Macaca mulatta: one gene and its partners. The protein of the gene in region 2 binds, or shares a complex with, the protein of the main gene of each other region. Links are inferred from orthologs where the notes say so. Each region holds a gene or a part of one and is shown on either strand. Other genes may lie near its edges.

Region 1 (6,186 bases), on a different chromosome or scaffold from region 2:
GATCGGAAACAGGGTTGCCAGAGGTCTCTTGGACCCCCAGCCAGCCCAGGCTTTCCACAGAAAAGGCAGGAATGAGCTCACTGCAGCCACAGCCCCTAGAAGCACTAGATCTAGCTTCAGCTCAATAATTCCCAGGAGTCCAGCATACGCTATGGTCCCAACAAGGCCCCAGGCCACGGGTATCAGAAGTAGAGGGCGGAATGGAAAGTCTGGGGATATTGCCCACTGAGATGCCAGCAGGCAGATAAAGCAGGCAGCAACCAAGAGAGCAGCACCCCCCGCCATGCGGACCAGAGAGAAACGAGCCCAAGACTCGATGCACATGGCCCGAGCTCCCCGCAGGAACTGCTGCAGCTCAGCAATCACAGTCGGCAGTGTCGCCTCAGCCCCGTTGGGGCTCTGCAGAAGCCACTGGTAGTCAGCAGAGGCCTTGGAGAAGAGGTTCTGCAGCTGATGAAGCTCCTTAGCTTGAAGGTCCTGAGTAGCAGCGGAGTAGGTACGAAGAAATCGAGACACCTAGCAGAGAAAAGGTCAGAGGCCAAGGGGAACAGGTCAGAGACATAAATTGGGGCAGAGGCAAGAACAGGTATTACAAAAGGGGGTACGTGGAAGTCAAAGACCCAAACTTTGCCCAGGATGGGGGAAGGGAGGGATAATAGAAGAGGGATAGGTATGGAAGGTGGGACTAAGACTAGTCAAAGGACAATAGAGTGGTTCATTATGCTTCTTTCATGCCCACCCTCGCTCTGTCACCTGGACACCCAGCCCACTTACCTACCTGCTGAGCATTGAGATGGAGAGCTGAGGCTTGGGCTAAAGCAGAGGAGTGGGGCTGGGAGTCCTCACCCCCTGAGAATAGCTCAGCCATCACTTCCCCAATGTTTCCAAATGGGATGGGCAGGCCCAGCAGCAGGGCCAGTGTGGGCACAAGGCTAACTTGAGGAATCACCTCTGGCTCCTAAAGGGAAATGACAGTGGTCGACAGATTCATTATAAAGCTGAAGTCAATGTTTGGGATGGGAGACATAGGGGCCTAGGTAAGAAATGAGAGTGGAGGATACCCAGGATAATGGATTTGGGGGCCTATAATAGAGGTATTCATGAGGATGCTGTGATGGTAACATGGGCTGATTACTGGGAGAACAGATGAGGAACATCCCAGGCCTCACCTCTGGTGGGGTGCTGGGGAAGAGTGCTGTGGGGCTATACAGAAAGAGTGCAGCTGAGACCTCCAGCTCACTGTCCCCTCCATGGTCTCCATTTGTGGTCATCCCATGGTCCCCAGCCACTACCAGCAGTGTGTCATTCTCCAGACGCTCCACAAGTCCCCTGGGGGCCAAGAAATGTGTCAGGAGTAGAAACAAATAAATATTTTCCTCAAAAAGAAAAAAGATTTTTCTCAGGGGCCTGTTCATCCCCAGCTATAACTCCATTAGTAAGGCCTAGACCTTTGGCAAAGAGACAGGTCTTCAGCCATGATCCTGATGCACAAAGCTACACATTGAGTTAATCAAGATGGATGGGGCCTCTAGCTTTAGCAGAAGGCCTAGAGAAGACAGAATTCAGCCAGGAAAGAAGCTCTAAGAGCTTCTTCTCCTGGGACCACATATCCTGAGATTCTCAGATACAAACCCACTCCCCCAGCCAATGCCCCACACTCACTGGATGACCTGGTCCATCTGGCTAAGTTTCTTGGCCATTTCAGGGTGGTGAGGGCCATGCTTGTGGCCACAGTGGTCCACACCCAGGAAGTGAGCAATCAGCACGTCCCATTCACCACTGTCCACTGTGAAGGGGAGAACAATGAGCACAGAAGACTAAGACCCACTCCTCAACCCCAGCCAGGCTTTGACACTCCTCTATGTCCAGGGATACAAGCCCAGGCTGTTACACCCATTGGAGGCTCGGAATTTGTGGACTAAAGCAGTCCTCCCCAGCTCCCAGTCTTAGAACTACGTGCTCTGGCCCCATGCTCACTGGTGGGGTAGAGCTGTTCCAGGATGCCATTGTCCACTGTGTCTAGGTCTCTGACATTGAAGGATGGGAAGAAGAAAGCTTTGGAGAAAGCACCAGGGAAAAGGTCTTTCCAGGTATCATCTCCCATGAAGACTACACGCCTTCCTGCAGGGACATGAAAGAGAGGTCAGAGCCTGAGCAAACGTCAGGGTCAGGAGAAAACAGGAAAAGAGGCCCTTGAAAGACCCATCAGAAGTTCCAAACATGTAACCTAAGAAGTACAGCAATTCCATACAGCAATCTTTATCCTTCAGGGCCTAACATTTTCCACCAGGAAGCTTTCCCTGATAACCATACTCCACCCAGACCTCACACTTACCCTTCCTACAAAATGCTCTGCTAGTTCTGTATCTGGGTATCTCTACTGATTTGTTTTTCCTGGGTGTATCCTGCTTCTTCCAAGCCAATGAATGAACAGGGCCTGTATTTCTCTGCTTTCTTCTCCACACTTGTAAGCCAAGATCCACATCTTCTCTTCTTCCCTTCTCCCTTTTACTGAGAGGTCCCCAAGAATAAAACTTGCACTCCATTCAGATTAGAAGCTTCATAGGACCAAAGCCCAGATCCCTTTTCCTCTGTCCCCCAAACTGAGCTCCCCACAAGCAGGGCCCTGGCCTCTTTCTTCTCCTCTGTTCCCCTACACCATAGTCATGTGTGCATCTGGGCACCCAAAGGTCTGACTCCCTGACTTCGAATTTTGAAGAAATTTGCCAGGGTACTTCTGGCCTTCAAAGTGGCCCACACTGACCTGCACTGGTGAGCTGCTTAATGAGATTGTCTTCCACTATGGCGTGGCTGGCAAAGTTACTACCAGCATCAATAAAGGTAGGCAGTGAGCCAGTGGTGAGGGCCTTGAGGCGCTGCATGGTGGTGGTAGGAGGGTCAACCTGAGATCGGTAGAGCCGGGCATGGTGGGGCTGAATCTCCAGGATCCTCTGCAAGGAGCTTAGTTTGCCCAGGAAGGGTAGGGAGACAGGAGGCTCTCCAGGCACATGTGAGTGCTGGGGCTGGGCGAAGTCAAATCGCAGAGCATCTACTAGCACCAACACAACCCGCGAAAATCGGGAAGCCATCCAGCAGGCCCCAGGTTTCCCTTGGCTCCCCCATGGCAGGGACCCAGGGCCTGGGGGCTCTTGGCAGCTGCTATAGTTGGTGAGCTCCAAACGGGTGAGCAGGAAGCCACTGGTGAAGAGGGCAATGCCAGCGTAGAAGACGAAGCAGACCCAGGCCAGGAAGAGCAGCACTGAGGCTTTCTGCATCCTGATAGGGGTGGGGAAGGAAATTCATTACTGTGGGGCAAAGAACCAGTGGATATTCTAGTCCCTGAATACAAGCCCAGCTAGAATCACTTCCTCCCAGACTTTCCTGGAGATAAACTGTCCCATAGCCAACCCCTCGCAATATTACTCTCCCGCTATTTCCAGGCTGGGCATGGTGGCTCACGCCTGTAATCCCAGCACTTTGGGAGGCAGAGGCGGGCGGATCACCTGAGGTCAGGAGTTCGAGACCAGCCTGGCCAACATGGTGAAACCCCGTCCCTACTAAAAATACAAAAATTGGTGGCGGGCACCTGTAGTCCCAGCTATAGGGGAGGCTGAGGCAGGACAATTGTTTGAATCGGGGAGGCGGAGGTTGCAGTGAGCAGAGACTGCGCCACTGCACTCTAGCCTGGACAACAGAGGGAGACGCCGTCTCAGAAAAATAAAAAAGCTATTTCGAGGCCCCACCCCAGATCTACTGAATCAGGATCTTCGAGGGGTAGAGCATAGGAATGTTCACATGTACACGCAGGAAATGCTAATGCTGAAAACACAGTCACGAGGGAAAGTTATTCCAATTGGTAGCCAGGCTCTCCTACAGGCCGTTTCTGCACCTCTCCCCTCGCCAATCTCAACACCCACTAGGGTGGAAAGGGATCAAAGCCGCAGGGAAACCCGGGCCCAGCCAACGACGCCGCCTGGCGGGCACCGAGGGGACGAAGGGGAGGAGTCACGCTCCGCTTCCGGGAGGCTAGGTTCGCCAGGAGACCTGAAGCATGACCTTCGCCACGCAACGAGGCTGGGGCGCGGGTCGAGAGTCGGTTGGGCCTCGCTGGAACCCAGGCGTGCGACCGGCTCTGCCTCCTCCGGTAGCTACCCAGCCTCCCGCTGGGCACCCTAGCCGCGGTACTGACCACCCTTGGTTGGGAGCTAAGGGAAAGAGGAAGACTCCCTTGTTTCAGGGTGAGGGGACTACGTGGGGTTGAGGTTCTCGGCAGACCCTGGCTCACCTGCAATGGCACCCGGAAGTCCGGCGGCGGCGGTGCCTGCGGCCTGGCACCACAGAGAAGCGCGCGCCAGAGAGGCCCGCCAGTGGCTCCATCGCCATCTGCCGGCATCTCGGTGGAAGTTTGGCCAGGAGCGTGGGGCTGGCCAGAGAGTTTGATGGGAGATTTAATAATTGAAAATTGGGAACAGGGGACCAAGCCGGAGAGTTCACGGAACCACTGTCCATTCATGGTTACGACTAAGAGCACGGCTGCTGGAGTCAAACTTGACTTGAATCCTAGCTCGGCCGCACATATTGTCATTATTAGGCATTACCTCATCTGTAAAATGGAGATAATACTTATTTTTCCCTTTTTGCTTAGCTAAGTCCAACTGAGATTTCATTCTCCTCTCAAAGCCTCTGAATCTTACAACTGGATAATTAAGCAAATAATCCTTCGGAGTGGAGGAGGGGAGGCTGGGCGCCAGTGGCTTACACCTGTAATCCCAGCAATTTGGAAGGCCAAGGCAGGTGGATCACCTAAGGTCAGGAGTTCGAGACCAGCCCAACCAACATGACGAAACACCGTCTCTACTGAAAATACAAAAGTTACCCGGGCGTGGTGGCAGGCGCCTGTGATCCCAGCTACCTGGGAGGCTGAGGCAGGAGAATCACTCGACCCCGGGAGGCAGAGGTTGCAGTGAGCGGAGATTGCACCACTGCATTCCAGCCTCAGCGACAAAGTGAGACCTTGTCTCAAAAAAAAAAAAAAAAAAAAAAAATGAGTGGAGGAGGGAAAAACAATCCAATTAATGGGCAAAGGATTTGACTAGACATTTCTCCAAAGAAAATATACAAATAGCCAATAGACACATGGAGAGAGGCTTATTATAAGCCATCAGGAAATGCTGGAGATACTGCTTTGAACCCACCAGTATGGCTATAATCAACAAGTGTTGACAATGAGAAGGAGGAATTGGAACCCTCATACACTGCTGGTGGATTGTAAAAACAGATAATTCAAAACGATAAACATAATTATCAAATGACCTAACAATTTCAGTCCTAGGTATAAACCCAAGAGGAATTAATACTTATGTCCAAACAAAAACTTGTACATGAATGTTCATAGTAGCCTTATTCGTGGCTGGGTAAATGGCTCACACCTGTTATCCCAGCACAAAATTTACCCAGGTGTGCTGGCATGTGCCTGTAGTACCAGCTACTCAGGAGGCTGAGGTGGGAGGATCACCTGAGCCTGGGGAGGTCAAGGCTGCAGCGAGCTGTGATCTCACCACTGCACTCCAACCTGGGTGACAGAGTGAGACCCTGTCTCAAAAAATAAATAAATAAAATAGTAGCCTTATAATAACCAAAAGGTGGAAACCCAAATGTCCATTACTGACAAATGGAAAAATAAAAAATGGTGTATTCATACAATGGAATATTGTGGAGGGGGGCTGTGAAGCAGTCTAAAATTAAAATCATGGTGGTAGCACAATTCTGTGAATATACTAAAGGTTACTACGTTTATATTTTAAATGAATGAGTTGTATGATGTGTGAGTTATATCTCGAACTCCTGGGCTCAACCTTCCAGACTCAGCCTCCCAAAGTGCTGGGATTACAGGCATGAGCCACCATGCCCAGCCTGATGTGTGAATATTTCAATAAACCCACTATTAAAAAACAAAACGGACTCCCAGCACTTTGGGAGGCCAAAGCAGGTAGATCCCCTGAGTCCAGCAGTTCAGGACCAGTCAGGCCAAAGTAGTGAAATACCATCTCTATAAAAAAATACAAAATTTAGGTGGACATGGTGGCAGGAGCCTGTAGTTCCAGCTACACCAGAGGCTGAGATGGATGATGGCTTAATCTGGGAGGTAGAGACTACAGTGAGCCTTGATCAGGCCACTGTACTCCA
Region 2 (6,086 bases):
TTTTTAAAGATTGTAGCACTGAAGTCCATAGTTTAAAGGCATGTGTGGATTTGTTAGGGACAAAAGCATTGCATATTAGCTTTAAATATTCTCCTACAAATAAATTATGGCCTAAAATACAGACACCACCACAATGGTCAAGGCATTTAATTAAAACAATGTGGGGAAAGAAATGAAATATAACTACTTTAGCTATTCCAAAGAGACCTAAGCTATGACCATTTTTTAAAAAGAAAAGCTATGTTTTAGTCTCCAGCAAAGAAAAGAACATAGTGCCATGGGGCTCTCACGTGAATCTGAAGTCTTCCTCTTCCCACCTGAGTAATGCTAAGCAAGATATGTATTCCTCCCCGTCACACTTTGACTTTCTAGTGTATAAAATGGGAGTGAAACCTACCTTGCACTATGGCTGTAAGGATTAAGTTACTCGTATGACAGGGCCAAGCCCCATGCGGGGTACATGGAGAGATCTACAAATGCTACATTTTCTTTCTACTGTCATCTGAAATGTCAGACAGGATTGAAAATTATGTGAAATCCAAATACCCTAAGTTGGTATAACGAAATACCAGAGAAACAGATAAATTAATAGTCCACTCCCACCAACTGAAAGACTGCTGGGCAGAAAAAATAAAACAAACTGAGACAATTAGCATATTCTCTAATAGATGAGAACTCAAATAAATAATGGAATTTGCACTATTGAAGGCTAAAAATATAGTCATTAAACTATTTCTTTATAGTCACTAAACTATTTCTTTTCTAATGTTACAGGCTCACAAATGCCTGTAACATTAATTAAGTAATAACCACATGTCAGGTGCTGAGCTAGATATTTTGGAGGGATTTTATTATTTCATCCTCACTAGCAAGTGACAGAGCCAGGATTTCAACCCAGTAATCTGATGCCAGAACTCCTAATCATCATGTTACCTGCCTACCCATTAATAAAACACGTGAGTTTAAAAACCTCATGGTCAATTTCCTGTGCTCAGAATAACTAACAATATTTGTTAACCTTCCACTAATTTTTTTAAAACATGAAATACTAGCCATGTTTTGATAAGACATTTTCCAGATAAAAACCTCATAGCTACATATTTTATGAAATATTTACAGCATATTAAATCTAAATCGCAGTCCAAATCTGAATTATTAAATAATTAAATTCCAGTCCTGGGTGTATTTAAGTGTCTGTTGTACTTACTCACACAGAACGTATGCCTTGCATACAGTGATAACAACGAATACTTACTTATTAGCTATTTAGTTACAGCAGATAAAGAATCAAATTATAAAATACAAAGGTTTTCTGTAGTCCAAATATTTATTTTGTCAGCAACTATAAGCTTTCTCCAGAAGTTGAAAAAGGCTATCTGGATTATGGGAAATTCAAATATTTGTTTTCTTGCTGAGATTTTAAGGCAAATAATTAAGGGAGAGGCAAGAAGGTACTTTCAAATATTAAAACAACAACAAAGATGACCAACAGTATAATGGGTAGCTACCCTACCATATTCTCTTTAACCACGTCCCCTTGCTGCCTTCCACAAAAGAAAAGCTTCCTCCAACTATAAAGATGCCTAATTTTTCATCACTTGCCATTATTTAAAATCACGTAAGATTTATATTAAGTTACAAAACTTTTTCATTGAGATCACATATTTTCAGTGGGCCTTTCCAATCATTTAAGAAATTATTTTAAACATAAAAATATGCTTGAAACAGCTCATTACAGAATCCACATTACTGTAATCTTATGGTTGGCCTCACGAATGTTATACAATGATTTGAGTTCAAAGTAAAGAAAACTGAAGTAAAACATGTAGTAGATTTTGTGGGGTTTTGTGTGTGTGTGCATGTGTACGTTTTTAAAGGTATAATTGCTTAACCAGACATTCCTGTTTCGCTGACTGGAATATAAATAAAACCAGAACACAATCCAGAAAAGCTTGCTTTACCACAAACAGATCAAATCTGTACTGGGCTACAAGGAACACAGAACAAGAATCTCTTCTTAATACATGTTCTATTTTAGATAATAAAGTGTATTACTGTATTGTCTTCTCATGAAATTTTGCTCTAACAACATCTCCACTTTTAGGAAATGCCATATTCCCTTATCTGATTTATTGCTTCTCTGGGAGATTCTGTTCTGTGGAGTTAGAATTATTAAAAAATAACAATAACAAAAAACAAGCAACCTTGTTTGCTGGAAATAAAAAGTGAAAAAAAAAAAAAGAAACCTCATTTCTTTAGTTTATTAGTAAATAACTGCAAAAAGGGCAAGGGGCAGATGAGTGCTATGCGAATAAAAGATTTTTAATTATACATCAATTCTATCATTCCCTCAATAATACATTTCATAATTTAAAAGGTTTACAGTGAATGTGTGGGTCATTAACTTGGAATATTCTAAAAACCATCCAGTAGTAAAGATAATTACACAGCCAGTAATATTCCAGCTGAATGAAACGCTCTAAATGGAAACCAACACTCGTTATGTATTTAAATTAGTTTTAAAATTAAATTAGATTTCCAGCTAGCTAGAAAATCTTTTTAAAAAGTCGGTAATTCAAATGGAAACTTTATATTAATTTAAAAAGTAATACCATCAATTTGGATCTAGTTCATCCTTATTGTTAACAAGCACTGAGGCAGAAAAATGAGTCATCAGCTAAAAGTCTGAACAATCCCAAAATGGGTGATTGAACTGTAAATAACTAAGATATATATTTTCTAAGCAAACCTAAACACATATTTTATAAAGCATACATATTCCCCTTAGTTCAGTTTCTACTTCTGCACTGTCTTGTAAACAGAAAAGACTTAAATTACATGTAACATATCAAACCTTTACACTCTAAAGTATTGCGTCTATATACAAAATGATACATTTATTATATATTATCTTACCAACTCATTAAAGCTGATGTCCCATAGTGCTTTATCAATATTTTCTATTTAGATTTAATTGCATTACTTGAAAGTAAGGAATCTAACCACTTTCAAACAATTTTCTGTGTATACTTTTCAATGATTTTGATTGTCCTCCAATTTAGAAATCACTGACACTCTGTTGAATTGATATTAAGTATGGATGACTTCTACAAGATGTCAACAACTTAAGAAACCTTTACTAGCACCAAAAACTTGGGATGAGTATCTGTGATGATACACACCCCAAACCTCCAAGGATTTCTCTAATACAGTGATGAAGAGTTAAAACAGGCAAGGGCAAACCTACCAGACTTACTAAACATGAAAGAACAATTTGACTTTCAGGGAGACACAACATCTAACTGAAAGCACAAAGAATGGAGTTAAGGTAGGCAGTTATGTGCAAGGCACACAATCTGGATCCCACATTTGGCAAATGAGGTATGTATCAAAGATTTACTTCATCAATTCATTACCTAGGACTTTACACTACAGAGAAAATTGGACAAATATTCAAAGATGTATGTTTAATATGATAACCATATTTGATAAAATATTAATAATAATGAAATAGGAAATAACCTAAATGTTCTTTAATTAAAAACTGGTACAGTATTTTACACAAATAATCGAATATTACATATATGTAAGTTTTCATTGACATAGAATGAGCTCCATAATATACTGCTGAGGGGAAAAAGCAGATTAAAAATAACATGAATATTATAGTTACAGGCATGGAGAGAGACAGCTGCAAAAATTATCACCAAAAGCAAATGGAGGTTTCCTCTGGGTGGTTGGGGAGGAAAGTAATTTTTACTTTCTTCCTTAGAATTACTAATATTGCTTAAATTTTCTAAATAAATATACATTATCTTTGTGATCAGAAAAAAATTCTCTTCATGTTGGAAAAAGAAAGCACATTTATTTTTTAACACCATAATTCTTTTTGGGAGTAATTATGGAAATAATTATAAAAATTCATGAAGCTATAGATTCAAAGATTTTATCACAGCAGTGTTTATTATCATAAAATACTGGCAATAATCTAAATGATCAATAGTGTATTTGTTAAATAAGTTATAAGTAACTATATAATGGCATACTACAAGGTCATTAATATTAAGATAAGGATACAGTCATCACTGTAAGTTCAGTGACCTTGGGAATGTTACATACCCTCTAGGTGTCAGTTTCCTCATCTGTAAAATGGGTATAAAAAGAGCCCTTACCTTACAGTGCTTTACCTAGCATATCAGCTTTATCTTATGGTGATACAAGATGAAAAATTTGATGTTTGTGAGCTGTCTTGATAACACAGGCCGCTGCTGCAAAAATTACCTTGCTATCTGCTTCTAAAAATTTCAAGATGAACATTCAATTTGGCCATCAATCAAGTTCAGAAAATGTGAATATAAGACCACAAGGGCAATAAATACCAAAGTTGAAAATAGGACATTTCTGCAACTATTAACCTAATTTTTAAAAATTCCTATACTGGCTGGGCTCAGTGGCACACACCTGTAGTCCCAGCCACTTGGGAGGCTGAGGCAGGAGGCTCGTTTAGGCCCAAGCACTGGAGGCCAGCCTGGGCAAGAGAGTGAGAACCTGTTTATTTTTAAAAACAATAAACTGCCTATATACAATCACAAAATAAGCTTGTTTATTCATCTATACATGTGCAAAAAACAGTGCTAGAAGATAAAACCAGGGCTACCTAGACGCCTTTGGCACTGGGACAGTCCCTATTAAGTTGCCCAGATTACGATGACTGATAGAATTGGTATCCTTACTTAATTGAACAACAGAACAATTTACATACACATACTAGTTTGCTTCATCAGTTTTACTATCATTGTACAAACATTTATTTTGTTGCTTTAAGTAACTGAAACCAACCTGCCATGGTCTTTCCCAATCCAGCGGAATAGGAAGTGCTCCAAGCCATGCTCCTACAAAACTAGAAATTGTAGTCATCTGGAGACTATTCTCCCATATGGATGAAACTCTGTGAAGCACAAATTGGTACATCATTGATGGTACATACATTAGCTGCTGCAGAATCCAACAAGCACTAGCACACATTATCAGTATACATATATTTTCTGTAATTTAAAATGAAAATCTCACTGACATATAAATATTTACCATGAACTATTAATAGTTAATTGGTAAGAAGATATAAATGTTTTCCATCGGAAAGGTAATATACAGATGTAGTAGGAGTCAAACCATGCTAAAGAGCATTTGTAGAAACAGCTAAGTCCTCCACCCCTATCAACTCCTGGTTCCTTTCCCCACAGGCAACTGCTATTACCAAATTATTACATATTCTTCCAGAAATATTTTATACATGCACAAATACACACATAATTTTGTTTTGAAGGATATATGTATATTTGCATAAATACACATGTACATATGTATATTTCTTCAAAACAAAACTCAGATGCATCACGTTATAAACCGAATTTTGCTTGTTTTTCCTTGGTAACAGTTGTAGTAGTATTCCATTGTATGGATGGTGCATCATTTATTCAACCAGTCTTTCTTTTTTTTTTTTTGAGATGGAATCTCTGTTGCCCAGGCTGGAGTGTAATGGAGTGATCTCAGCTCACTGCAACCTCCGCCTCCCAGGTTCAAGCAATTCTCCTGCCTCAGACTCCTGAGTAGCTGGGATTACAGGTGTGCACCACCACGCCCGCCTAATTTTTGTATTTTTGGTAGAGTTGGGGATTCATTATGTTGGCCAGGCTGGTCTCGAACTCCTAACTTCGTGATCCGCCCACCTCAGCCTCCCAAAGTGTTGGGATTACAGGCATGAGCCACTGCACCTGGCCTCAGCTAGTCTTTCTTACATCACATTTCATTTATACAAACCAATTCAATTTACTCGGCAAGAAAAAGGCAGAGAACAAGAACAAAATATTTCAAAAGATCTGGTGATTTTGCCTACCATTCCTATATACTAAGTGCACATCGGAGAGTGTAAAGGTGGAAAGACTTAATTCTGCCATTCTCTTAGTAGGTGTTAGTTTCAGCCTGGCCCTCATAGTGTGAACTATATATACATAGTGTGAACTGTAACCAGACAGTTCTGGTTACAGTCAGGTAAAAGTCCACTGCAATGCATTAAGTAGGGTCCA
Region 3 (6,186 bases), on a different chromosome or scaffold from region 2:
AAACGGAGTGCTGTGATCAAAGGTGCCTGCCCCTCTCCTTCATTCTCCCTCACCTCCCGCTCCATTCCTTCCAGAGCAGTTGTCACTGTCTGAAACGATCTTCATTGATTCATATTTTACCGATTTTCTATTCCTCCAATTAGAAAGTAGGCTCCATGGCCGGGCGCGGTGGCTCACGCCTGTAATCCCAGCACTTTGGGAGGCCGAGGCAGGCGGATCACAAGGTCAGGAGATCAAGACCATCCTGGCTAACACGGTGAAACCCCGTCTCTACTAAAAATACAAAAAATTAGCTGGGCGCGGTGGTGGCGCCTGTAGTCCCAGCTACTCTGGAGGCAGAGGCAGGAGAATGGCGGGAACCCGGGAGGCGGAGCTTGCAGTAAGTTGAGATCCAGCTACTGCACTCCAGCCTGGGCGACAGAGCGAGACTCCGTCTCAAAAAAAAAAAAAAATAGAAAGTAGGCTCCATGAGGACAATGCTGTCTTGTTCTTCACTGCATCCCTCCTGTCTAGAACAGCATGTCACATAGTACATGCTCAATAAATATTGCTGAATGAAGGTCACATCACATTGAAATGTGGCAGAGAGAGTAAAACATTCAAGGAAAAAGTCAGTGAGCGATATGGCACTGTGCTTCCTCCAGTCTCAGACTGCTTTCATCCAGCGAACATTCGCTGAGCATCGACAACCCGGGCTGCCCCCAAGCCTTCAATCAGTAAGCAGCTCCTTCTCACCAAGTAACAAGCTGTCACCCCATCAATCACACAGCAAAGGCTCCGTCAGAGACTTTATGCCACACTCACACGCAATACACTCACAAACACAATTCAACCCCTCTGCTCCTTTCTGTCCCCAACTTTATTCATCCTTCCACTCTCAGTTTAAATGCAATTTCCTCAGCCGGGATTTCTCACCCACTAATCACATCCTGTTCCTTCCCATCATGCACTAACCACACTTTACAACTGCATGTTTTCTTTCTTTCTTTTTTGAGACGGAGTCTCGCTCTGTCGCCCAGGCTGGAGTGCAGTGGCCGGATCTCAGCTCACTGCAAGCTCCGCCTCCCGGGTTCACGCCATTCTCCTGCCTCAGCCTCCTGAGTAGCTGGGACTACAGGCGCCCGCCACCTCGCCCGGCTAGTTTTTTTTTTTTTTTTTTTTTTTTTTAGTAGAGACGGGGTTTCACCGTGTTAGCCAGGATGGTCTCGATCTCCTGACCTCGTGATCCGCCCGTCTCGGCCTCCCAAAGTGCTGGGATTACAGGCTTGAGCCACCGCGCGCGGCCTCTTTTTTTTTTTTTGAGATGGAGTCTTGCTCATCGCCAAGGCTGGAGTGTAGTGGCGCAACCTCGGCTCAATGCAAGCTCCGCCTCCCGGGTTCACGCCATTCTCCTGCCTCAGCCTCCTGAGTAGCTGGGACTACAGGCGCCCGCCACCTCGCCCAGCTAATTCTTTTGTATTTTTAGTAGAGACGGGGTTTCACCGTGTTAGCCAGGATGGTCTCGATCTTCTGACCTCGTGATCCACCCGCCTCGGCCTCCCAAAGTGCTGGGATTACAGGCGTGAGCCACCGCGCCCGGCCCAACTGCATGTTTTCATATGCTCCTTTGTTGAGTGACTGTATATCTAAAGACTAAAAGCTACATGAAGGCAGAGATACTATTTTCTCCCCGATTGTATACCCATTAAAATATCACCACATAGTAGTTGCTCAAAAGTTTTCGAGCCAATCAATAAAGGCTTACTTTTTTTCTTTACCCATGGTTCTTGGGAAATGCACTATGTACTTCAAAGCTGCTGTCAGTAGGCTGGACACCTGAAGGATATGGTGGAAACAGTGGTAATTGTTGAGGCAGATCATACTAATTGGATCATTATGTATACTGTTGGATACTTTTGGAGAAGTCACATTTAACTTATCTGGGTTTGCTTTCCTATCTATAAGATCTAGAGACTGAACTAGATCAGCTCTAAAGGCTCCTTCTAAGATTACAAATGACCCAATGGCGATTAAAGAAGAAAGCAGGTTACCAAGAATGGTATATCTTGGGGTAGGTTAGCCTGGGTGATCTTGCTGTAAATCTTTTTTTTTTTTTTTGAGACGGAGTCTCGCTCTGCCGCCCAGGCTGGAGTGCAGTGGCCAGATCTCGGCTCACTGCAAGCTCCGCCTCCCGGGTTCACGCCATTCTCCTGCCTCAGCCTCCCGAGTATCTGGGACTACAGGCGCCCGCCACCTTGCCCGGCTAGTTTTTTGTATTTTTTAGTAGAGACGGGGTTTCACCGTGTCAGCCAGGATGGTCTCGATCTCCTGACCTCATGATCCGCCCGTCTCGGCCTCCCAAAGTGCTGGGATTACAGGCTTGAGCCACCAGGCCCGGCCTATAAATCTTTTATACTTCCCGTGAAGCATGAGTTTTGGCTACTTGACAAGAGGCACAAATCATGGGTCTCAGTTCCGTCCTGTGTGAGGCTCCCTCAGCGTTCTATTGCCCCAGCCAACTGATAGCACAAAATTTCCACTTTCTTAAAATTGCAACTCCAAGCGAAAGACTACAGAGGCCCCCTTTAAATCTTCAAAAGAGCCAAACCATGATTCATTAAAACATTAAGGCCAACTTACCTTGATTCGAGGCATAGTAACTGTAGGTGGCTTTGCTTCAGCCACAAAACTGTGAGATGCTCCTTTTTCCACAAGATAAGTTGTGTAGGGCATAAATTTCACACCCTTTGATCCAAACACAAAATCATCTCTCAAGGCATCTATCAGAACAATAACAACTTTACTGAAGAGAGGTGATGGCAGCGTGGTCCAGTTAGAACTGGCTCCTAAGTGTTTGAAAGAAAAAAAGGAAATTGAACTTTGAACTTTCCTAAGCATTCAAGCACCTCCACAATCTAGCTTCTACCTACTTCTCCAGCACATATCCTGCCATATCTATATAACCCAACCCAAAAGGAGGAGACTTCTACTTGGTAGGTAGTGCTGCCGGGAATGGACGGGGGTTAATAGGAGTAATCTCAGGGACCCACAGTAGTAAGCAGTTAATTATCCTTAGTATAGTGAGGAGTACCAGGGCAGGGGAATCCCTACGTAAGCGTCCTGGGATGGGACATTTAGGGAGCTTGACCTAAAACCCAGAGCTGCAAGAATGGGATGGCTGGGTGTTTATATACTGCGTTTCGCGGTCAGCGGCTGGTGTGTGCACGTGGTCCAGAACCAGGGCTCCTTTACTTGCTGTATATGGCTGGGTAGATGAAGACTAGGAAGGGGCCTAACGCAGAAAGGCCTTAGCCACTAGGCAGGGAAAACACCTTGGAGGAACGTAAGAGACCCAAACGCGAAGGGATCGGCAGGGGTCTTATCTGTAGTGTGCTAGGGGGCAAAAAGGGCGCCTGGAACAGGCAGTGACCCAAAGGCTCCTCAGGAGAGGGGCGGGGGCTCTGGACGAGTAGAGCTGGAGAGGCCGGATCCCAGGTATGGACACAGCTTACTTTGTGGTGATCAGGAAGGAAGGTCGAAGTGGGGCCAGTAGAGGTGGTTGCCACAAAGTTGTAAGAATACAGAAAAGAGACGCTGGAGCGGTTAAAAAAAAAAAAATTCTGGGGTGGGGACCATAACGGGAGACCACCGGGGAGCGCCGAGAAGAAATCCGAGCAGTGACGCTCAGAAAAAGGGTCTTCTAGGGGATGTGGGGTCAGGGGAGCGGAGATGCTGGGGAGGGGTCCGTACCAGCCGAGGGTTCGGGCGCTGGGGGCTCTGCTCCGTGTACCGCCCTCGCAGAGGAACGAACGGGAGCCGGAAAGAATCCCCGAAGGAAGACTGCGATCCCTAGCACCTCGATCGCTACGCAACAGGTAGCGAAAGTCCCGGAGCCCAGCCGCATCGTGGACACGCCAGGCAGGATGCGGAACCGACCCCACCTGGAGCTTCGCCCTGCTGCACCCGCGCTTCCGGCTCCAGGTAGCCGTCTCTAAGCAAGAACGCCAGGCCTTACCGTCGCAGCCACAGTGGCGTCACGTCCGCCGGCGGGCCACAGTGGCGCGTCACTTTCGCCGGCGCGCCAAAGCGGCGTCACGCTGGAAATACGCCCGGCGGGCGGTGATCCAGGCTCTCTGCGGCGGCCTTCCCTGCGAGTCCGCGGTGGGCGCAGCCCACTGCGAGGTACAAGGTTTTAGAATTTTTTCAATTTGGAAAGCCGGGCTCAGTGGCTCACGCCTGTAATCCCAGCACCTTGGGAGGCCGATGCGGGCGGATTCACGAGGTCAAGAGATGGAGACCTTCCTGGCTAACATGGTGAAACTACAAAAAATTAGCCGGGCGCGGTGGCGGGCGCCTGTAGTCCCAGCTACTCAGGAGGCTGAGGCGGGAGAATGGCGTGAACCCAGGAGGTGGAGCTTGCAGTGAGCCCAGATCGGGCCACTGCACTCCAGCCTGGGCGACAGAGCGAGACTCCGCCTCACAAAAAAAAAAAAAAAGTTTATTTGAAAATTTTATTTTTTAATGGACACATTGTAAAGGCACATATTTATGGGCACGATTTGATGTTCAGATAAATATATATTGTTGTCTTAATTTAATTTAGGAGAGCTAAATAATTAAACAGGCCAAAGTACATAAGAAAGCAGCAGCCTTTTATTGCAAATATGCACACACTCTTGGGGTAGGTTCTCCAGTCCTCAGGTATGGGGCCAGAGAAGCCCACCGGCCTCTGCTGGGGAACTTTTATGCATTGATACTGGAAGGGGGAGGGCAGTGGGCGGGATAAGGGCGTGATAGGGGCGTCTCAGTAGGCGTGGGCGGGTAAGTTTGATTTCTTCGGATTGAGGTCACCTGGCCGACGCTCCGTTGCCCTGCACTTTCTGGGCGCGGGAAAGTTGGTGATGAACAACACGGAAGCAATCGGGACTGTGCCATGTTGTTCACCTTCCTCCATTTTGGTCCCTTCTCCCTCACCCAAACAGTCTAACCTCTTATTAATTGTAGGAATTTGGGGCGCCATTGTCAGTCTGGCTGCTTCCTGCTGTTAAGGGGCGTAGTTAGGGTCTGAGGTTGGCAGTTGGGTGTAGGGATGCAGGAGCATTTGGTTGAAGGTGACTGGGTGATTTCTTGGACCCTAGCTCGGAGAAATTTTATTAGAATGGGAGCAAAGCATAACATAAGACAGAGGATTAGTATGGGAATTAGGAATGGAAGCATCTGCTGTACTACAGGCAGCAGTGATACCAACAATTTAAGGGGGCATTAAATTGTTGAAGCTCCTTTTTGATTTTGTTTAACGTTTGGACGTTGGTGTCAACCAGGCCTAATCCATTTATGTAGTAGCAACACTCCTCTCCTAGGGAGAGGCATGCTCCTCCTTTTTCACCAGTAAGAAGATCTAATGCCCGCCTATTTTGTGCTGCTACCTGGGCTACTGAGGTGATTTGACGTTGTAAAGAGGCTAGGCTTTCAGCTGAAGCCTCTATGGCTGCTTGGACCTGAGTGGAGAGGGTCTGTGTGGATTGAATCGAGTGGGTGAGGGCCCCTGTTCCAAGTCCTGAGGCTACTAGGGACGATGCTAGGGAAACCCCGATAACTAAGGGAAGAAAAATGGCCCGTTTTTGGATTTTATTGCTGGAAGTGGTAAGCTGGGAAGCTAGCTCGGACAATTCTCCTTCGCCATATAGGGTTAAAGTAGGCACTAAAGACACCGGAACACAAAGGGATTGGGTGATGGAGGTGTGGTTAAGAGTTTTAGATAAGGCCAGGCGCGGTGGCTCAAGCCTGTAATCCCAGCACTTTGGGAGGCCGAGACAGGCGAATCACGAGGTCAGGAGATCGAGACCATCCTGGCTAACACGGTGAAACCCCTCTCTACTAAAAAATACAAAAAACTGGCCGGGCGAAGTGGCGGGCGCCTGTAGTCCCAGCTACTCGGGAGGCTGAGGCAGGAGAATGGCTAAACCCGGGAGGCGGAGCTTGCAGTGAGCTGAGATCCGGCCACTGTACTCCAGCCTGGGCGACAGAGCGAGACTCCGTCTCAAAAAAAATAAAAAATAAAAAATAAAAGAGTTTTAGATAAAGTTTGGTCACACCAGAAGTAGCCGCCAACAGGAGCCATCTGGGTCCCGCTGGGAGCTTGGGTATGATTACACCACGAAGGGTTGGGAGTAGAGTAGCAGAAAGGAAGGGTTTGACTTTCTGGAT

What was found.
Region 1: PIGF (region 2) and PIGO share a complex: the UniProt entries of both Homo sapiens proteins name them as parts of the ethanolamine phosphate transferase 3 complex. The link is inferred for Macaca mulatta from reciprocal best matches to the Homo sapiens genes PIGF and PIGO.
Region 3: PIGF (region 2) and PIGG share a complex: the UniProt entries of both Homo sapiens proteins name them as parts of the ethanolamine phosphate transferase 2 complex. The link is inferred for Macaca mulatta from reciprocal best matches to the Homo sapiens genes PIGF and PIGG.

What each region holds. Positions count from the first base shown.
Region 1 is NC_133420.1:64,629,931-64,636,116, reverse strand, and holds the start of PIGO (GPI ethanolamine phosphate transferase 3, catalytic subunit), read right to left. Parts: upstream 4,331-6,186; 5' UTR 3,875-4,330; intron 3,685-3,874; exon of another isoform or gene 3,587-3,684; intron 3,277-3,586; 5' UTR 3,276-3,276; coding exon 2,765-3,275; intron 2,122-2,764; coding exon 1,978-2,121; intron 1,787-1,977; coding exon 1,663-1,786; intron 1,330-1,662; coding exon 1,170-1,329; intron 959-1,169; coding exon 779-958; intron 517-778; coding exon 1-516.
Region 2 is NC_133418.1:78,242,487-78,248,572, reverse strand, and holds part of PIGF (GPI ethanolamine phosphate transferase, stabilizing subunit), read right to left. Parts: intron 4,949-6,086; coding exon 4,840-4,948; intron 1-4,839.
Region 3 is NC_133410.1:563,117-569,302, reverse strand, and holds the start of PIGG (GPI ethanolamine phosphate transferase 2, catalytic subunit), read right to left. Parts: upstream 4,010-6,186; 5' UTR 3,884-4,009; coding exon 3,730-3,883; exon of another isoform or gene 3,492-3,729; intron 2,826-3,491; coding exon 2,620-2,825; intron 1,816-2,619; exon of another isoform or gene 1,745-1,815; intron 1-1,744.